Linked DNA regions of Canis lupus familiaris. The protein of the gene in region 2 interacts with the protein of the main gene of each other region in a biochemical or structural test. Links are inferred from orthologs where the notes say so. Each region holds a gene or a part of one and is shown on either strand. Other genes may lie near its edges.

What was found. The genes of interacting proteins can lie anywhere in the genome.
Region 1: the proteins of STON2 (region 2) and SYT1 form a complex in vitro, tested with the Homo sapiens proteins (2 studies listed by BioGRID). The link is inferred for Canis lupus familiaris from reciprocal best matches to the Homo sapiens genes STON2 and SYT1.

Annotation. Positions count from the first base shown.
Region 1 is NC_049236.1:22,131,648-22,135,165, forward strand, and holds part of SYT1 (synaptotagmin-1), read left to right. Parts: intron 1-2,595; coding exon 2,596-2,718; intron 2,719-3,518. UniProt on the Homo sapiens protein: Calcium sensor that participates in triggering neurotransmitter release at the synapse. May have a regulatory role in the membrane interactions during trafficking of synaptic vesicles at the active zone of the synapse.
Region 2 is NC_049229.1:53,904,011-53,907,528, forward strand, and holds part of STON2 (stonin-2), read right to left. Parts: intron 3,277-3,518; coding exon 3,074-3,276; intron 1,467-3,073; coding exon 1,383-1,466; 3' UTR 1-1,382. UniProt on the Homo sapiens protein: Adapter protein involved in endocytic machinery. Involved in the synaptic vesicle recycling. May facilitate clathrin-coated vesicle uncoating.

The sequences.
Region 1 (3,518 bases), on a different chromosome or scaffold from region 2:
GAGGGAGGCGGAGGGAGTATTGCTCTTGAGATATTATAATAGCTACTGATTTAATAGGCCTGAATTTAATGTGATGGTCGAGAAGACGTCCTGCTTAAGCTCAGCCTTCAGGACAAGAATAGACTTAATCACTTCAGTGATGAACAGTGGCACTGAGAAATTATCAAAAATTTAGCCCTATTTCATACAGAGTAATTGCAGAGATGGTCCTGTACCTTTTATTAGGGCAAAAACCACTTAGGAAGAAGGAGATTTAATATCTCAGCTATTTCAAATTGCACTGGGCTGAAACATGATATGTAAATTGTCAGTTCTGAAAGAGACTTTTGAAAAAGTATTTTAATCCATGATTTTTTTTATAATTATGATAGAGTAATGTGTAGATTTTTCAGACAGAAATATGTACTAAATAGCTTGCTATTATTTTTAAAAACTTTAAAATCTTAGAGGGAGGCAATTTACCTAAGCTGCAATTTCCTAAGCACATCTACAGGAGTGTTAAAGACTGACACACAGCTAAGGTTTTGAAAGGGCTAGGTGATTTCACTGCCTCAGCTCCTCTAATTAAAGTCAGTAGCCTTTTCTGGTCACTTTAATAGCATGTTCCCTTTAATGATCTATCCCCCCTCACCCCCACCCCCCCAAGTTAAAAGATGTACGTTTTCAGTAATTAAATTGTTTCCTGCCTTTGGCTGTCAGGAAACCAACATTTTACTATTCAGAAAAACATTTAAGTATAAACTTTCCTACATAGATGTAATTAATAATGATAATTTTTGATTTTCTAAACTCATTATAGGCTCCTGAAAATTTTCAAGCAGCACAGAAATGGAGGCATCTCCAACTACATCTCTGCTGTTTTATAAGATCTTCCCACCCAAATGAGTTCTATTGATGCAGTGCCATCAAGTCTCAGGGGTATTTTTAAGATCAAACTGGAGTTGGCTGAGTAGAGCCAAATTGGAAAATCTTGTCAATTTCAGTGCCATTTTGAAGCACCACAGAGAAATCTCCGTGTAAATGTATGAACAGTAAAGCTTTCACTCAGCAGAGAAGAGAGAGCACGAAATCTGGAAGGTCAGGAGAGGCTAGGGGATGGAGCTGCAGTCTGACGACTCATGCCTTTCTGAAATCCGGATATACTTCTGGCATTTGAGTTCTACAAGAATTCTCAGATTTGACTTGCTGACAGGGGTTAAAATTCCTTTACTTTATCATAGATACAAAGCAGCCTGCCACTTTGTCTTATTTTGACTCACACACCTATACATGAAAGGCAATAAAAATGCCATAACCAAAAACTATGGAAGAAGATTTGCATTATATATAAAAGCTGAGACCACTAAAATACAATGATTTCTCTAGAAATCAATAAGAACCAAAAAAAACAATAAAAAATTCAGCAAAGAATGTATACAAGCAGTTCCCAGAAGAACAAATACAATTGGTTACTATGAAGATTTTCAAATTTTTCCACTCACTAGTGGTCAGGGAAATGTAATTTTATCATTTTTAATTTTGAATAACTATGTATAGCTTTTTAAATTATTTTTTCCAATTCTCTAAAGCAGTAAGAATGCATATCCTTAGAAACAAAGCTCCTAATATTTACCATCTTTATAACCTTTGATTTTTTTCAGCAGAGTTGTTGTATTCAATGGGAAATACATTATCTATTTTTATGTTCAAAAGAGAGGAGCATTTGAATATATTTTGTGAAATAATGAGCTTTCTAGTATGTCAATTTACATTACACTAAGGTTTAGATGATGAGGAATACCCAGTTGGTCCAAACTGAGTTGAGAGTTCAGAACCATGATTTTTGTTCATTAACGCAAAATAAATGTTTATACTGATTTCAGCTTGACAAAATTGTAAACATAACTGCTCTTGTTTTTTGGTATCAAATAGACCCATAAATCAATTTAATTCAGCCTAGCTTTCTGTGGAGCTGTTATAAAAATAAAATGGTAAACTTAAACTGGAAGCGGGGTAGATTTTTCTCTCAACATGCATTTGCTGGTGGCATGTTTCTTCCACTTTTTCCATAACCATTATAAATGTATATGTGAAACTTAGGAAATGGAAATTCTTGGAGAATCACTTACTCAGCTACCTTTCTCATAGGAAACAAGGCAAGAAAAGGCCACGCATTTCATATAAATACTCCGCTGCATGTAACAATGGTGTTTTACATGATGCTTAGCTTAGATCTCTTTCAACTACATGAATGTGAAACCTGGCCTGGTTAATAGCATGTTTATCATACCTCCGAAAGAAGCGGTTTTAACCAAAGCCAAACATTTTACCAAAGTGGACATTTTCTTTGCAACAACTTTACATTTTTCGCTTGCAATATTCTGAGGGGCTTCTTCCATTGCTTTCATGTTGCTTGCTGATTGGGAAGAAAATTCCGTGCACCAGTGGAATTTTAAAAATCTATAAGCAGCAAATGTGAATGTGTGTCAGACAAATGGATTTCCAGCATCTTAGTGCTTGCTTCTAACAGCTTGGAAGTGTAACCACAGGCCCAGGTTGATGTGGGTTTCACTGAATTCACTTGAATTCATGTATCATTCGTTTCCCTACTCCTAGGCTCTAAAGGACGATGATGCTGAAACTGGATTGACTGATGGCGAAGAAAAGGAAGAGCCCAAGGAAGAGGAGAAATTGGGCAAACTTCAATATTCACTGGATTATGATTTCCAGAATAACCAGGTCTGAGGGCTTGGGGGGGGGTGGGGGATGAATTCTAATTCCATTATGTTTTCTGAAATTACCAAGTAGGAATTGAAGCAAGATACTTCTTAAAACATTTCGTGTGCCGCGAGGGGAAAATGCAATTATCAAAGCTATTGATGAAATAATTTCTAAGTACAGGCAGTCCCCTACTTGCTAATTTAACCTCTGGTAATTAGAATTCACAGTATTCAACCGATTACATCTACTTATGGCACTTAGAGCAGGCAAGCAGAATACAAATGAACTTGGCAAGTCGTCCAGTCTGTTTCTGACGGCTCCCAGCCAGTCTGGCTCCCACTGGCCCATCAGCCTGAGCTCCAACAATCGCCCTTGGAATTCATGGCATTAGATCCAAACAGGGCGAGGAACTGTTGAAACAAACCACCATTCAACCAAAGCTTTATTTTATTTTTTATTGGAGTTCAATTTGCCAACATATAGCATAACACCCAGTGCTCATCCCGCTAAGTGGCCCCCCAGTGCCCGTCACCCAGTCACCCCCACCCCTGCCCACCTCCCCTTCCACCACACCTAGTTCATTTCCCAGAGTTAGGAGTCTCTCATGTTCTGTCACTCTCACTGATATTTTCACTCATTTTCTCTCCTTCCCCTTTATTTCCTTTCACTATTTTTTATATTCCCCAAATGAATGAGACCATATAATGTTTGTCCTTCTCCAACTGACTTACTTCACTCAGCATAATACCCTCCAGTTCCATCCACGTTGAAGCAAATGGTGGGTATTTGTCATTTCTAATGGCTGAGGAATATTCCAT
Region 2 (3,518 bases):
AAATTACTCCTAAATTTTCCCGTCGAGATTGGATATATCATTTATTTCTCTGTGTCATCTGACATATCAGAAATCTGACAAGCATGCTTTCTGTCCCTTTACTCTATTTTTCATGGGAAAAATAGGCAGATAGAACCTGCCTTTAAATTGTCAAGCAGCTATCCCCTTTGGGATGGCCAATATGGTTCCGTGCATGGTAAGGAAACACCAAGATACAAATAAGAATTGGAGGTACAGAATGTAAACGGGAACATATGAAGGGAAAGATGACTGAGTGTCCCAGACTCTTGGAATCAGGACTTGATTCCCAACATTAGAAAAACAAGGCTTTTCTCCCTTCTCTATCCTAGAGACTTCTGCCTTTTAGGCGTATTACAATACTGTGATTATCAAACTCTGAATTTTGGGGAAAAGTTGTTTTTAAACAGCTTTTAAAATGATCTTTTCCATTTATATTTCCTGTAAAATCTGAGTTAAAGAGACATGCTTGAGGTATAAAAAGAGCTCCCAAATGCTGCTGACAAATGCCTGAGGTATAATAGATAGATATATGTTCATTTGTTTCAGGAATTAGAAAAGACCTACATTTCAATGTGAATCTGGGAAATTCACTGAGACTGAATTTCCTGAATGGAATATAAACTTAATAATTAATGTCCCTTTTCCCCAGAATGAAGAAAAATAAGCTCAATTTTGCTTTCCCTTCAAGAGCCACCCTTTGCAGAATGTGGGGCCAATCATAGAATAAAAAAGTATCCTATTGTGCCTTTTCCCCATTGTGTATTATGACTCAGGGTGGTGAACCCTGGGACTAGAGAGATGGAAAAAGAATTTCAATTAAAACAATCCAAAACCAGGAGAGAAATGTCTTCTGTTGCATAGTGTTAACATTTAAAGAATGGAGACATGTACAAAAAGCCTACTAGATCCAAAAAGAACATTTGTTTTGTACCTCTTCTGAACCTTTCCTAGAGGGAGTGACAGAGGTGGAGTCTCAAGACTGTTTTCTAGAAAATCATGTAAGTGACGGATGAACACTGGAAGTAAACCCTGCCAACACTGATGTGGAAGGTTTTTCTCCTGATGCCAATAGTCACAACAAACTACCACTCAAGTGCTAGGATATAAGCAAAGGAGAAGGAGGCTTAATTAGACAATAAGCTCCAAAAGTTGGGTGAACCAGGTGCTTCAGGCATATCAGGGTCTCTCCAAAGCAATCACCTTAAGGTTTCCTGTTAAAATACAGGTAACTACAAACAGGAAAGTCTGAGATACTGTTCCCAACATGGAGTAGCCATAGTAGGTACTGCCTTGTACTTCAGCTACTCAGGAAGACATCCTATCACGACTCTTGGGTCAGGGCCCCCTGCAGTAGGGCTTTGTCACTGGACCCCACACTCCTTGGGATTTTCCATTTCATCTCCTTCAAAGTCGGGCTTCAAACTCTTTTTTTGCTCAATTTCCACCTGCCAAAAGTAGAAGTTGGAAAGAAATATCAGAAGGAGGAGAAAAACATCCTAATAATAAATAATCCCAAAGAGAATAGCTCACTAGATTCTCTGAGATTCCCTGTAATTTTGTTACCATTTTGGGCTTTAGCCACAGTGAAGCTACTGGTCCTGAGTACATCATGATTCTCTCTTTGCTTGGTCTGGAATTCCCTCATCTTTAGGGTTTACCTGGAAGATTTTTATTCTTTGCCTTGCACAGCTGCTCAAAGGTCACCTCTTCTGTGAAGCTGTTCTCAAGTCATTAGGAAGGTAGGTGCTCCTCTTGTGCATATTTCCTGTACCTGGTATACCTGCTCACCACAGCGCAGGCTCCCTAGGACAGGGGTAGGCCCTTGTCTACTACTGTACTCCAATAAAGCAGGCATGCAGCAGGCAAGCACAAAGGTTTATCAAATGAATGAATTCCTTCCCTTGGCTGTTCATACTCTACTACTTTATTGTTTTACGAAGTCTCCAAATTGGTAAGCGTTGTACCATTTACAGTTCTACCTGTGTTTTCTGCAAAATATTGTAGCTTTAACTATAAAGGGATTAATAAATTCATCTTGCCATGAAAGTGACACACACACTGAAGCCTTTGACAAGTCAGAAAAGAAATACGTCAGGCAAGAGAGTTTCTTAATTAAAGCTGGTCCTCTCTTTATCACTTTGGATATTTATGATAAAGGAAATAACCAAACAGTTGACTAGGGTCATGCTTGATGAAAGTGCTTTTTTTTCCCCTGGCCACAAGATGGAGTATGTGTTCTTGTTGGTAGTTTAAGATTTTCGATAATGCAACTAAAGAAATATTTAAAGAACAATAAATAACCATAAAAATCAAAGGATATTATGAATTTTAAAAGTTATTAAATCACTTTGCAAAATGTGTTTTCAGTAACCCCCACTTTCTATCACTGACCTTTAATCTGCTATTGAATTTCTAACACCTCAAAATGGAATCTCTATGTCAGAACACTACAACTTTGTTTCCTCCTTCCATAGCCCTGATCCTGTTACTATTACCGAAGCTTGCTTGGCTTTTGAATTTTGTCCTGTTATAGCCCAGTGACCAGGTCATATGTGTCCTGACTTTATTTGGATCTACATCATCAACTCTGAAGCTGAAATACATGCTTTGGGTTGGCACTCTCCCAAACTCCCCACTACTTCCAAATTTACAACTCCTCCAACATATATTATGAATGAGTATATAATACTATGATGCAGTCACTCATAATATTCATAATATTATATGTAATATGCAATTAATAATATGTATTATATAATCATCATCCCTTTACCCCAATGACCCTTTTGATGATGTTCATGATGACTGAAAGACATTAATTTATTCTCCTTTTCATCTGCCTCTATATTTTTTTGCAACTTTTCTCTTGCTCACTAGAGAGGTTAGTCAGTCATTCAAATCAGAGTAGACTCATCCATAGCAATGTGGGGTGTACCTCTCCAAGTAAGAGAACACCTTGCATCCATGGCAGGCACTGATAAAGGGAACAAGAGATGGGGGAGGGGTAAACAAATGGTCTTGGAAACATTAGCCAGATGTCTCCCGAGGCTACCTTGTAGCTGTAGTGTGCGGAATAATTGACCCACTTCCTGACGTCAGTCTTGTCTTCCACGGAGATGGATCTTACAGAGGCTTTAGAGGCAGAAGTTGTAGGCATGCTGAATTCAACATTCACGTGATTGGCAAATCTGGAAGGCACTTCCCGGTCAGAGCCAAGTTCAAGGTGGCAGAAGAAACAGTGTGGGTGACCAGAAGCTATGAAAGGAAAAGAATCTAGACATTAGGTTCTTTGGAAAGATGTGAAAGGAGAGGCCAAAAGAGTCACCCCAGTAACAAAGAAGGCCTGAAGACTGCCTCCCAGCTCAGCACCGGGCAGTCTTTCAGAGGGTCCAATGCCAAGCAGAGGATTTACCTCAACAGAAATCACACTGCCTATGCCTCAGACCCTTTGATAGAACTATGTGATTACAATAGCCTTGTATCCTAGCAATAAAACC